Arabidopsis thaliana: one gene and its partners. The protein of the gene in region 1 interacts with the protein of each later gene in a pairwise test. Each region holds a gene or a part of one and is shown in the gene's direction. Other genes may lie near its edges.

Region 1 (5,464 bases):
AGGACGTGCAGAGCAACAGCTTCTGCAATTGCAGCTCCTTCTTCATCTAACCTTTGTTGTTCTTCCAATCTCTTCTGCTTCTTCTTTTCAAGCTCAGCCCGGATGGCTGCAGAAGTAGCAAGAGCTTTCTCCAAACGTCTCTTTTTCTTCTCAGCTTGTTTGATACGATCAAATTCATCTTTACCATGCTTCTTCTTCGCTTTCCTAACGACTGGCTGAACTTGCTTGCACACCGTGTGATCCATTATTGCTTGACTATAAATTTCTAACTAAAAAACTGCACTAAACTCGATGATGTTGTAGAGGAACTCAAGAACTACACCCACTCTGGTATATAGGAATACCTCATGGTGCGGACAATACAATCCCAGAAAGAAACAACAGGAGACAACTGAAGAGAGAGGTTATAAGAATTCGCAGACTTATTCTTCGAAATCATTCGTCCAACATTCCCGCACCCCTTAGACTCGCCCATTTTCTGCATTGACAATTACTTGATTAGTTTCAAGTTGCAGAGGAGTAGTAACACAGAAATCCATAACATCAAAATCTGAAAGCCAAAACAATAGCATTCAAACTTGTAAAAGCTAACAGTTGTAGATAGACCACCAACCAAGCAGACACAATTGTTCTAATGACCTCGAAAGACACCAAAAGTCCTAAAGAAGTCAAACAAAATCAGCCACCAATTAGATTGAAGATAGTCAACAACAGCCAAAGAGTAAAACCTAATGATTACTCAAACCCTAATTTCCCAGAGTAGGAGCAAAGTTGAAGAATACAAAGGGTATCCATCCATCCACAGAAAGAGTTAATTCCACGGCAAATTTCAGGATCTCTCTTAATCCTCAGCTAATAACTCAATTAAGACTAATGGATACAAATTACACAAATACAGACACCAGATCTGCCGCAGAAACTAATTTTCAGATCAAAATTAACCTCAATTCAACAAGAACAATAAGAGAAACAATCGGATTTAATCCATTATGTAGGTCTAAGATCCATGAATAAGCATAAGATCCGAGGAAGCTAATCAAAAAGACTTTTAACGAAATAAGTCAATTATATTGAAAAGATAAAGGGAAATTGAAGATAAACGGAGAAACAAAGATGATGATGAAATTTAGATCCAAACCTCGGCAATATGGCATAGAAGCAGCTGCCTTCAAAGAACTCCTTTAAATTAATCGGATAATACAGAGAGATAAACAAAAACGCAGAAGTAAAGTTGCTGTTTTGATGCAGAGAGAAAGAGAGAGGAATTTCGAGAGATAAAAAAGAAGAGCAGACGAAGAAGACGAGAGAGAGAGGATAATAGAAGGAATTATAACTAGTACAGAGAAAGAAACGCAGCGCGACTTCTAATGAAATGGGGACACGTGTCGAATGATGTCTGACTTTTTTTTCAAGTGTAAGTTTTCAATTGGGACTTTGGAGACTTGGCCGGTGCGACTTCGTCTACTCCCAGTATTTTGTGGGTCCTAATGAGGGCTATTAGCAGCCGTTAGATCCCCCGATAACTGTTTTGAGATGTTTCCGGTTCCAACTTTTTTTTTTGTCGACTTCCGGTTCCAACTTTGCAATATTTATCATGTAAGAAAGAAAATTTGAGCCTTTCACGAATATGTACAAGTGTCATGTTACCTTACATTACAATAAAATATAAGAGCTTAATTTGCATTCAAAGTTTATCAACTTGACTAAGCTTTGTTTGTGCTTTGAGCATCCCATTCAAGATTCATCCACCAAAATGAGACTTTGAATACACTTTTGATATAACAAAAAACTTGGTCGAATTTCTTTGGTCCTAATTTATTTCCTGAATCCCATCTGTTGTACTGGGCCTAGGCCCAATTGGCCCAATATGTATGTACCATAAAAAAGAAGTCATTAAGTTTTTATGATTGACTTTTTTACATAGAAGCAAAATTATAAATTTGGTGTATGAATGGATGGACTAATTCGAGACGAATCAGATGGCTAACGAAAACCAGACTTGTGTCCGTTTTGCATTTTCGAAAATTATCGGAAGAATCGGTCAATTGATTACCCTCTTTTTTTTTTGTTTACCCCATTTTTTAATAGTCATGAATCATCTTCCTTGGTTGTGTCAGATTACTTAAGTCATTATTTTGTTATAGAGATGCTTTACTAGTATTTTTGATTTGTTTTGGTAAGGACACTTGTCTAGCTAAAGAAATGTTAGTTAAATGAAAGAAAAAAGGTTCAGTAGTTGACCCGTTTAATCAACTGCGAACAACGTTCATACTAATATAATTTGTTACCATAAATTCATAATCTAAACGCGTGCTTAAGTTGTAAACAAAAGGAATTAACAAGGGACACGTAAAGTAGCAATTCCGCAGGAAAAGCGAGGGTAAAATTGTCATTTCAGTGGATCCCCACCACCACCACCACCGCCGCACCAGTTTCTTCTTCATCTCCTACGTCTGAAATTGAGAAATCGGAAGAAGAAAGATAAGTCTAATCTTGTGCCTTTAGATTTCTTTTCGGGGAGATCTAGTAGTTGTTGGATTCGTTAAACGGAGAAGTGGATTTGGTACGAGTCTTTAGGTTTCCTTCTTCACCAAAAGCTCTATATAGAGAGAATCTGCGAGCTCTTTTTGGTAGGAAATTAGGGTTCGTGTTGCTTGGTAAATATAGAATCAATGACGGAGGTTGTTCTGCATATATACGATGTGACGAACAGTGGATCGGAGAAGACTAACAACACCATTGTTCAGATCAATAGGTTCTTCAAAGACGGGATCGGTCTTGGCGGTATATTCCACAGCGCTATTCAGGTACTACTCTTCGTCTATATTCTATGAATCTACATTTATGTACAATTATCGATGATGTCTAAGCTTGGTTTTGGTCTACTTTATGTAGATTTGGTTTTTGTTTCTGTGTATGTATGTGGAAATTAAGAAGTTGACGGCATGATACTTTTCTTTTGATATGTGAGGCTTTAGTTTAATGGTTTATGGTCCTAAAGGTCTGGAGCTGAAGTCTCTCTTTTGCTCAGGATCTTGTGTTTCCTAGTACTTTTGGTAACTTTCCATATGATAATGATTGCGATATATTGACCAAGTGCTCTCTGGAGACTTGTTAAATCCAATGATGGCTTACGTTTACTTCTGTGATCTTTGACCTGGGCAAATATAATTGCATATACCACTTTCCCATTTGAGTCGTGACAATTTGGTGTATTCCAACAAAACTACCAGAATTTAGGTTTTCAAGTTAGTGCTAATCATTCTATGTTCTTAGGTCTGTATATCTATGCAATATCATTTGATTATTCTTGTTCATGGTTTTGTTATTTTTTTGTGTCTTGTAGATGACTATTGATTCGCAGGGAAGAGTGATTGAATAGAATATTTTATGACCTTTGTGCAGGTATATGGAAACGATGAATGGTCTTACGGGTATTGTGAACTAGGAACTGGTGTATTCAGCTGCCCGAGTGGAAAGAATCCAATGTACACATACCGTGAGAAAATCGTCCTTGGCAAAACAGATTGCACAATCTTCATGGTGAATCAGATGTTGCGTGAACTCAGCAGGGAATGGCCTGGACACACTTATGATTTGTTGTCAAAAAATTGCAATCACTTCTGCGATGTACTCTGTGACCGGCTTGGTGTGCCAAAGATCCCAGGTAAAGCCATTTTTTGGGAATCTGGTGTGTGTGTGTGTGTGTTTTGTCTTCAAGGCTTATGTGACGGCTTGGGTTCTGTCTCTTAACAGGTTGGGTTAATCGCTTTGCTAATGCTGGGGACACAGCCTTGGAAGTGGCAGGAAACACAGCAATGCGGGTGGGTTCCCTTTTGTTTAGCTTCTCTACAACGTAAATGCAACATTATGGGTGTTCAAAACTTGTAAATTGGGATTTTGCAGATGAAGCAAGCCAAAACTGAACTTGTGTCAGCTAGTAAAGTGGCTTATCGCTTCCTCTCGAATGTTACTTCGAACGTAACCAATGGCTCCAATGGCTCTCCACAACGACCGGGAACTCTCAACAATTCAGACAGCGGGAACTTGAGATTGCAAGGTAGTTGGCTCAAAGGCTTACTTAACACAGCCAAACCCTCCACTAGTACAGAGATAGGGAACAAAGATGAAGATGCAAATCATGCAGTCACCAATCAGAAGAAACAAAGCCGTGACTCTGATGTTCTACTGTTTCAGTAGCAACCGTACCGATCCACCACAATGCATTCGGTTAGCTGTATATCCACCGGTCTAAGAGTCACGCACTATTCTCCTCGTCTGTACCCATTACTCTGTATCAACGTTGGAACCTGTCATTTTTTCTTGAGTTTTTAGCTCACGTGTGCTTTTGTTAAGATCATTCTCGCTTGTTACTGTCAAATCTTAACATCAAAAGGTTTATTAGTCTCAATACACTAGAAATTGTGACTGAATTTGGATAATCACGTGATTCAAGAGGTACTCTGTAATCTGTATAAAACTTAGAACGTATTTGTGAATGTTACAAAGAGAATTCAGAAAACATCTTTTCAGCTAGTCTAACATCAAAAGATAAACAACGAGGAGGAATTTTCACACCAAAAGGGGTTCTAGAATAAAGAAAAAAACTGCAACTCTACTCATAGCAAACACTTGTTTCTGCAGCCAAGTTTGGCACGATGGCTTTTGTCATCCCCCGAACATCGTCTCGAAGACATAAGCGTTCCTATCAGCGTCCTCAGATATCTGTAGTGACGAAACAGCCTGAGCAGCAATCAAATCTGCAGATATTACCATGTTGTTATCCCAGACATCCTTCATGAATGGCTTATATGACACTGACCAGTTACTATCTCCTAGTCCATAACCATTTGACACAAACCCAATCCCTTGAACCGCATAGCTAGCACAACTTTGGCGAGGAACATAGTTGGTTCTTTCATCTCTAAACAGATCCATTCCGAAACCCGTTTCTTCGCCAAACTTGACTCGAGATGAATCATCAGAATCTTCGCCCAGTAGGACGTGCAGAGCGACAGCTTCTGCAATTGCAGCTCCTTCTTCATCTAACCTTTGTTGTTCTTCCAATCTCTTCTGCTTCTTCTTTTCAAGCTCAGCCCGAATGGCTGCAGAAGTAGCAAGAGCTTTCTCCAAACGTCTCTTTTTCTTCTCAGCTTGTTTGATACGATCAAATTCATCTTTACCATGCTTCTTCACTTTCCTAGTAACTGGCTGAACAACTTGCTTGCACAACGTGTGATCCATTATTGCTTGCTATAACTCTTTGATTCCAACTAAAGTAAAATGCACTAAACTCGTTGTCTAAGAGGATTTCAAAGACTACAACCACTCAGGTATATAGGAATACCTCATGGTCCGAACATTACAATCCCAAACAGAGTCAACAAGAGACAACTCAAGGGAGAGGTTATAAGAATTAGCAGACTTATGATTTGGAATCATTAGTCCTCCTTTCCCACACCCC
Region 2 (4,577 bases), on another chromosome or scaffold:
GCACAAGAGATAAGATTAGAACAGCTAAGATAAGGTTGGTGGCTGCTAGAAAGATGAAGGAAGCGGCCAGAGAGGCTGAGGCGGTTGCAATCGCAGAGATTGAGGCTGTTACTGGAAGTATGAATGTTGGTAAGGCCGAGGCTGTGACTATCTCTGCTGAAGAGTATTCTGTGCTTGCTCGTAGTGCTAGAGACGCAGAGGAAGAGGCGAGAAAGCGAGTGGAAGATGCAATGTCGAGAGTTGAAGAAGCTAATGTTTCAAAGAAGGATGTTCTGAAGAAAGTTGACGAAGCGGCTCAAGAAATTGAAACCAGCAAGAGAGTATTGGAGGAAGCTGTGGAGAGAGTTGACGCTGCAAATGCTTCGAAGATCGAAGCAGAAGAGGCGCTGCGAAAATGGCGGTCAGAGAATGGACAGAGGAGAAGATTATCTTCTTCGGTGAACAACACTTCCAAGTTCAAGAGCAGAAGAGAGACAACAACACGTCTGATGGATGTAAACGGTCTGCATCTGACATACGATGTTGTTGACGGGTCATCATCTTCTTCAACGGTCCCAGTCTTGAAACCAACAATGTCAATAGGACAAATACTGAGCAAGAAGCTACTTCTTGCAGAGGATTCAGATATGAATGTTGCTAATGAGAGAAGAAAAATGTCGTTGGGTCAGATGCTTGCAAAGAATAGCAGTAGTGATAAAACTGTAAGCAAGAGAAGTGAAGGGAAAGAGAATGAGAAAAGGACGAAGACTCGAAAGAGAAAGAGTTTCGGATTTGCTAAGATCTCTGTGTTGTTGAACAAAGAGAGCAAGAACAAGAAGAAGAAGAAAAAGATAGCTTTGAACTTAAGGTGATATTTTGAATCTGTTGATGACTTCTTTCTGTTTTGTACGTGAACCAGTAGTTTAAGAAAACAAAGTGTATCATCAAGTGCTTTATTATAATGCTAATCTAGGCTAATTAATCCCAATACGACCATATTAGCATTGACAGAGAAACGAAACAGAGAAGATGATGAAGTATGGAATTTTTCAGTAACTTAATTCTATTACAAAGCTTCTTTTATACTCTGAGAGTTAATATGTATACATAGAACAATCAGTTAAGAGACTAACTAAATCATCATATGACTCAAGGGACTAACAAACTTATCATTTTAAACTGAGGTAGTATCTAATATCCAATGAGACTTGGAACATGATTAGGAAACAATGGTTTTGTAAACACATCTCCTAGTTAATTCTCTCTTCGTAAGTGTAGAGCCATGATCAAAGTAGCTTGGATTCTTCTTCTCACAATATGACTTTGGTGCGTTAATGAAACAATGGATTGTTGTTGGCAATGTGTATAGCTGCAGTAGTAGCCACATATGATATAGCATTGACAAATTGCCAAAACACTTGACTCTGCATTCGCCTCTGTTTTGGCCAACTCTCTGACACCTCTTTAAGCCACAAAACCATTGTAGTAGACAAGAGATTTAAATGACTTACATCTCAAGAAATCAACAAGACTGCCTAATCAATAACGCATTGATCAAAACTACTGAGACTTTCCATCAGCTTTTCATTGAAAGAAAACAAACTGAAAGATTTGAATAAAAGAGTTAAAAGAGTTCACTCCCAAGTCCCAATCACCAACCTCCATGTCCCAGAAGACGCCAATCTCAGCCGCGGCGAAATCTCTTGTGGAGCCGGGAGCGAGACATGGTTATTGGTGTTCTCTGTGTTGAAGATGACTCACCCACCTTTGTGTAATCCTCTGTCTCATAACCATCATCGTTTCTGTTATTGGTTAACTGAAGTCTCCCCTTGAACTGAAGTACTTGTCCACTTCTTGGTGACCAGTTGTGAGATCCCACGATTGAAGATAGGCTTTCCTCCATATGATAGGCTTGTCCAAAGCCACACTGCAGTTACTTGACTAAGAAGCGATTGTGATAAATCATCATCATGAGCCAAGTTCTCAGGCTGAGCTAAGAGAATATTCCCAGTCCTGCTTTTCATCATAAACGAAAGACACTTGACGTACGAGCAGTCATCTGTGATTTTGCTTGAGATTACCATGAGATTAGTTGGTATACGTGTCCGGTCAACTGTCCATAACATAAGCTCCTCCAAAAATCATAGAATGTATCCATTACCTTAATAAATCTTGATTAAATAGTAATATACCGTTATCGGAAAAATAAAATTCAATATAATAGTTTCATTCACTTTTAAAATTTTGGAAAAAATAGATATAAATATAAAACTCTTTAACATTTATCTCCCTAAAACACGAGATTTAACCTAATATAGATCATAATTAAATCAAATAATAATAGGAAAACCAAAAAGGAAAAGAGTCACGTTTATTGTCGGTGACCCGTAGCAACGAAAGAAATAGGAAGGTCAACAATTTTCTCATACCCGTATATAAAACAAATCTATCTCTCCTTCCCTCTTTAATTTATTAATCAGATCTTGCCCAATTCTTCAATTTCTTCAACCCTAATTCTTCTCTCTTTCTCAGATCTACCAAACTTGATCTCCAATGGCTTCCTCAGCACCACCAGTCCTCCCAATCTCCAATCCCCAAACCGTTCCATCCGCCGCTCCTTCCTCCGTCGAATCTCAACCACCGATCGCTACTCCAGCTTTCCGCAATTTCATCAATCAGATCACCGAAACCGTTAAAAACGGTCTCTCTAAGCGTCGTCCTTGGGCTGAGCTCGCGGATCGTTCCGCATTATCCAAACCTGAGTCGATCTCCGACGCTGCTGTTCGTATCCGCAAGAATTACTCGTATTTCAAGGTTAATTACCTCACCGTCGCTACAGCGATCGTCGGATTCTCTCTCGTCACTCATCCTTTCTCTCTCGTCTTCCTCCTCTGTCTCCTCGCGTCGTGGCTCTTCCTCTACTTGTTCCGTCCCACGGATCAGCCGATCGTTCTATTCGGTCGTACATTCTCCGATCGTGAGACGTTAGGGTGTTTGATTTTGTTCAGTATCTTTGTGATCTTCCTCACCGATGTTGGATCTGTTCTGGTTTCGGCTATGATGATTGGTGTTGCGTTGATCTGTGCTCATGGTGCTTTTAGAGCTCCGGAAGATCTTTTCCTTGATGAGCAAGAGCCTGCTGCTACCGGATTCCTCTCTTTCCTCGGTGGTGCCGCCTCTTCAGCCGCGCCTGCTGTTATCGCCGCTCGCGTGTAAATGCGATTCCGATCTACCATTCCCTCGCCTGGGTAAATCTTTCTATATGATTCATTTGTTGAATTTGATACTTAGATTTTGTTTTTTTAATCTGAAAACAATAAACGTGAAAATGTTGTGGATCTGGCCTAATTTTGGTTCTTGTTCATGGGCAATAGCTATAGATGAAATATATATCTTTGCATGATTTTGATTTGATGAAGTTTTACTACCGTTTTGTGTTAATCTTTAGCCTTTTTTAATTTACAAGTGTTGTTTTGGAAGATATGGATTTATTTCATGATCAAATTCAAAATGCAATGGATCTGTTTATTAGAACTTGTAGCCATCTTTTGATTTGTTATGTGACTACATTGCACTGCGTGTATACAATCAAAAGAGTCAAATTTGGATGCATGTGCATGCAAGATCCATCCAAATTTCACCAGTTTTCAAAAGCACCCATCATAAGACAGACCTGGATCAGAGTCGTAGGATTTAACGAAAGGAAATTACTTCCTATTGAGGATGAGCAGCAGAACAATATCCACATTACGCATTTACGCTACTTGACTTGACTTGAAATCGTGGGTCGGAGCAAATGCGATGCACAAATAATTCGATGAGCAGCTTTAGTATTGGGCTTCGTACTCGAGTCCGGCCCAGTATAAGCTCATTTACTTCTTTTCGAGTCCAGTTCGGCAAAGGCCCAATGTCTATGAAATATCGAATTGGTGGCGTATACCCTAAGCCAACAAGGAAGCTTCGTTTTAAAAATGATTTGTTACTTACCTAAAATTAATAGTATTGGGTGACAATCCACCTTACATTCTTATCTTTTTAAGGGTTTTAGCTTACGGTATAAGTCACCAATTTGACATCTTCCATCAACGAAAATTAGTAAATTACAAAAAAGTACAAAGTCTTAGTCGCAAATATCTCTATAACCAAAAGCAAAGCAATATCCTAAGTTGTATTGACCTCGGAAACTAGAATCTCCTTGAACTTGGGATTTGTCAATGCCAGTGACTTAGAAATTGTTCTTTGCGAAGGCAAAAGCTACAGTTTGTTAGTTGGCGCGCAATTTGAGCTGGGAAGAGTCCAATGAGAGTACCAAAAGTCTCGGACTAAACGTCTTCAAAAAAGTAACCATGGAATAATAATTTATTTTTATAGTATAGTTTGAAACAAAGAAAAAAAGAAACACGTTTGTCAGAAAAGTAATAAGTGGAAGATGTCAAATTGCTGGCTTGCACCGTAAGCCAAAAAAACACTGAAAAAGTAAAATTTCAATTTAAGGTGGATTGGTGCCCAAGACTTACAATATCTATTTCTTCACGATATTTACGATAATTTTCAAAGTCTTAGCCGCAAAGAAATCTATAATGACCAAAACATATTGA
Region 3 (4,439 bases), on another chromosome or scaffold:
CCACTTTGCCGTATTGTGTCTTGTTATGTTCCAAGTTGTGTGCAAATCGAGTAAACCAGGTTTAGTCCTTTTTACATTTTCGTTTTGCTTTCAACTTCTTTGAATTGTTTTCTCATTCTCTTTTATCCAATCTGATAATGAATTAAGTTATTTAATATTTTTACTATTTTGGGTTGCAATCGAATTCTCAACATGGTTCTTAATTTACCTTTGTTAACTCATTGCTTAATAACCTATAGACTGTAAAAAATGCTTAGAAACAGAGTTGATTCAAGCAGGAGACATTGCTCATGAGTCTTGACATATACACACAACACAGACTTTAGTTTTACAGTATAATACAATTCTCAGTGTTATTCTGTTAAACCTAGTGATCTTCATGGTGTGATCAAACTATAAGCAAGAGTGTGAAACAGAGAAGCGAACACGCAACGCAATGGATCTTAACTTTGCAGCTATACACAAGTGACATCATTACCAAAACGATAACAAATCAGCTCCTCATCATTGCTTCACTCACATAACATCAACTAATTTGACAAAACCAAACGAAGGTAAGAACTAAGAAGGATTGGTCTTTAAAAACTTTTAATCTTTGAATTTAACAGCAGGGTTTAGGGTAAACCGACCCAAACCGATACCAAAAATTTTGTTTATAACTCAATCGTTTTTGTGCCACGTGAGCGGAAGGATAATACGTCCAATGGGCTAAAAATAAGAGTGGCCCAATAAACAAGGATGTTTGAGAGTTTTGTGTATTTCAGACAATTAAATACTAGGGTTTATGTGTCTTCAATAACAATCTATCGATAGTCTGAAAGAAAAGAGTTTATGAAAGTTGACCTAACATCTGCGCCAAATAGATCAATCCTTGTTCGAAATTTGAAACAGCGACGATGATGATGTCCGATCTTCCACATGATTTGGTGGAGGAGATTCTCTCTAGGCTTCCGTTGATATCTTTAAAAGCAATGCGATCTACTTGCAAAACCTGGAACGTTCTATCCAAACATCGGAGCTTTGCAAATAAGCACATCGGCAATGTAACCGCATCAGGGAAAAGAGATTTGATAATGATTAAAGATTGTAAGGTTTATTCAATTGGCGTCAATCTCCATGGTATTCAGAACAACAACAACATTATTGATCTATCTATAAAGAATAAAGGTATTCTTCACCTAGAAAATTTAGATCTAATATTCAAGGAAATATTCAATGTCTTTCACTGCAACGGTTTATTGTTGTTATACGGAAGCATCACTGATGATAGTATTAGGCTTGTGGTTTGTAACCCGTATTGGGGGAAACGTGAATGGGTCAAACGCATAAATAATTTTGCAAGTTTTGACAAACTTGCTTTCGGATACGACAAATCTTGTGGTTGCCACAAAATCTTAAGGGTTTTCGATAGTTACCCTAATAGACTTGAAATCTACAATTTGAGGTCTAATTCACGGATGGTTTCTAGTTTCCCTCTTAAATGGGATATAGCGTTTATGCAAGATGGCGTGTCTTTGAAGGGAAATACTTACTGGTATGCTAAAGATAGAAGATCAGAAGATTGTTATTTAATATGCTTTGATTTTACTAGAGAGAGATTCGGACCGCGTCTGCCTCTACCTCAACCCTTCATCGATGAATTTTTGGGGAGTCTATATGTGGTAAGAGAAGAGAAGCTTGCGGTGTTAGTAAAGCGGTGGCGGGGTGGCAAATCTGAGATCGATATTTGGGTTACGAACAAGATTGAGCCCGATGAAGTCTCGTGGAGCAAGTTCTTAAAAGTTGATAACACACCAAGATTTTTTCTGACTGAGGGATACTTGATTTATGATGAAGAGAAAGTCGTAGTGTTTTTTAATAAAGAGGAGACAGAGGGGCTCAAATCCACTGTCCACATAGCTTACATCGTTGGAGAGAATGGTTATTTCAGAAGAGCGGATCTCCGTGAACCTCTATATCAACCACTTTGCCGTCTTGTGTGCTCTTATGTACCAAGTTCTGTGAAGTAGTCTCAAAACAGTGGGTCTCGGTGACTCTCTATGCACACCAGGTCCTATGTGTTCTTATGCTCCAAGTTTTATTCAAATCAAGTTAACCAGACCTATGAATTAGTCTTCTTGCTTTCATCTTATTTTAATATTAATTTGTTTCTCATCTCTTTATGCAATTATATAATGAAGATTTATAAGTTATCAAATTACAAAACAGAGAGACAACAAGTGACGAGCAAGGTACTTTTGTTTAAGCAATTCCTTTGTTTTGTTTACTTTATTTTCGGTTTGGTTATATAAACCGACCCAAACCGAAATCAAATTTTCGTTTATGTAACTCGATCGGTTTTGTCTCATTTCTTATTTGAAGTTTTGAACAACCTTATCCTCTTTCTCTTCTCTTCCTCATCATCAGAGATCAGCCATGGCTTCTTCGACTCTCTTCAAACTCAATTCACAGACATTCAAAGCTCTAAACCCATCTCCTCCTTCGTTATCTCCTCCCAATTCCAGAATTTTCCATCTTCATTTCTCCAAATCACTCTCACAACAGCATTCAAAGCTCAACCACAAATCAACCACTACTCGTTTATTCGCTCCTCTCTGTTCCTCTCTTCCTTCACCTTCTTCTTCTTCTCCTCCCCTTTCCAAAGAAGAAGCCATTAATCAAGCCAAAACTTGTCTCCTTTCATGTCTCATCAAACCCTTAAACAACCCAAAACTCGCTTCCCCAAAACTCAGGAAGCTCAAACAACCAAGATTCCGTCTTGAAATCCCAATCCTTGACGATGATTCTCCTTCGTCACTCTCTCAGCTCGCTTTCTCGATCTTTCATGACTTACCCATCTCGAGAAGAGGCTCTAATGTCAAGCTTCTCTTCCTCTGGCCTAACCCTTCATTCATCGATCCCGCCGTTAAAGCTTTCCGGTCAGACTCTATCCACCACATTGCCATGTCTCCGGTCTCAGACTCTCTTAAAACAGCTCTGAGATCTGCTGACGTGGCGATCTTCATGGCTCCGGAGAAATCGCAGCTGGAGGATGTTAAGACCGCGAGTGAAGCTTTTTCTACAAAACCTGTAGTAATGATCAATCCGAGATGGTTGTTTGAAGAAGAGAAAAGCTTTGGAGATGGCTTTATTGGTTCCTTTGAAGTGATTTATGCGTTCACTGGCTTAGAAGTGAGAGGAGTGTTTAGTAAGAGAAAAGGAGTGATCTTTAAGTGTGTAAGAGACGGTGTTGTGAGTGGAGAAAGATGGAATGTTCTCGTTGAAGAAGAAGAAGGTAATGGTACTTTGAAAGTTGTTTCACAATTCAATTCTCGACCATCAATCGAAGAAGTTGAGCTTGTTCTGTATAACTTGATGGCTATGAATTCTCCTATTACCAAATCAGCTAAGTTTCTTAGTGATTTGGTTTCAAATATCACTGGGAAGAAGTAGTTTGTTAGGACTTCAATGTGTATTGATTGTGGATTCAATTCAAAATAATAAGATTTTAATACTTGTTTTTGAAGCAAAAGAGAGACTACACAACACCATTAATGAAAACTAATTCAGATCTAATCTAATGAAAGACTAAGCTACACATTAATTAGCTAAACAACCACAACACAAATCCCTAATCTAATCTTCATCAGCGGAAGGTTTTGAAGCACCAGCTTTCTTGGGAAGAAGAAGACTGTGAATGTTAGGCATCACACCTCCATTAGCAATCGTCACATCTCCAAGCAGTTTACTCAGCTCCTCATCGTTTCTCACCGCGAGCTGAATGTGACGTGGCACAATCCTAGTCTTCTTGTTATCCCTAGCTGCGTTTCCAGCCAATTCCAATACCTACAACACAACAGATCCAATTTAGAAATTAGGGTTTTACGAAATTGAAGATCGAAAGAGTAAAGAGATATAGGGAGAGAAGGGGATAATTACCTCAGCGGCGAGGTATTCGAGAACGGCGGCTAAGTAAACCGGAGCTCCGGCACCAACACGTGTTGCGTACTTGCCGTTCTTTAGAAAACGAGCGATACGACCAACGGGGAATTGGAGACCGGCTTTGCTGCTTCTCGATGTTGATTTCTTAGCAACGCCAGATCCGAGAGTTTTGCCGCGACCCGCCATTTGTGATTTGGGAAGAGAGATAGAAAAAGTTGAAAATTCTCAATGCGAGGGAAATTAAGATAAGCGTAAGAGGACGCTCTTTGGTTATTATATATACTGTGTAGAGACGGTTGAGTGATTCTTATCCAATAATAAACAATCACGCGGATCGATGTTACTGCCGTTGGATTAGATTATGATCGACGGTTTATAATTGGCACGCTTGAATTTACGTTTTTATACTCCTGAATTCATTGTTAGAATTGGGATTGACGGAAATACCCTTCAGTGGGTATAATCGACATGATTTAAATAGTGAAAATATTTTGTAACTCAAACATATTTTCGCAAAA

What was found. Proteins that work in one complex are often made in the same cells at the same time.
Region 2: the proteins of AT4G25680 (region 1) and PRA1.B4 interact in a two-hybrid assay, tested with the Arabidopsis thaliana proteins (one large-scale study listed by BioGRID).
Region 3: the proteins of AT4G25680 (region 1) and AT3G20680 interact in a two-hybrid assay, tested with the Arabidopsis thaliana proteins (one large-scale study listed by BioGRID).

What each region holds. Positions count from the first base shown.
Region 1 is NC_003075.7:13,085,753-13,091,216, forward strand, and holds AT4G25680 (PPPDE putative thiol peptidase family protein), read left to right. Parts: upstream 1-2,220; 5' UTR 2,221-2,672; coding exon 2,673-2,807; intron 2,808-3,405; coding exon 3,406-3,667; intron 3,668-3,756; coding exon 3,757-3,824; intron 3,825-3,906; coding exon 3,907-4,200; 3' UTR 4,201-4,409; downstream 4,410-5,464. Other genes in the region: AT4G25670 (stress response NST1-like protein), read right to left, coding at 1-245; AT4G25690 (stress response NST1-like protein), read right to left, coding at 4,669-5,244.
Region 2 is NC_003071.7:16,068,458-16,073,034, reverse strand, and holds PRA1.B4 (prenylated RAB acceptor 1.B4), read left to right. Parts: upstream 1-2,370; 5' UTR 2,371-2,532; coding exon 2,533-3,195; 3' UTR 3,196-3,649; downstream 3,650-4,577. Other genes in the region: AT2G38370 (weak chloroplast movement under blue light protein (DUF827)), read left to right, coding at 1-851; AT2G38365 (endonuclease/glycosyl hydrolase), read right to left, coding at 1,785-2,105; AT2G38350 (uncharacterized protein), read right to left, coding at 3,727-3,966. UniProt on the Arabidopsis thaliana protein: May be involved in both secretory and endocytic intracellular trafficking in the endosomal/prevacuolar compartments.
Region 3 is NC_003074.8:7,229,140-7,233,578, reverse strand, and holds AT3G20680 (plant/protein (DUF1995)), read left to right. Parts: upstream 1-2,384; 5' UTR 2,385-2,415; coding exon 2,416-3,432; 3' UTR 3,433-3,511; downstream 3,512-4,439. Other genes in the region: AT3G20700 (F-box associated ubiquitination effector family protein), read left to right, coding at 1-54; AT3G20690 (F-box and associated interaction domains-containing protein), read left to right, coding at 897-2,009; HTA13 (histone H2A 13), read right to left, coding at 3,616-3,825, 3,919-4,107.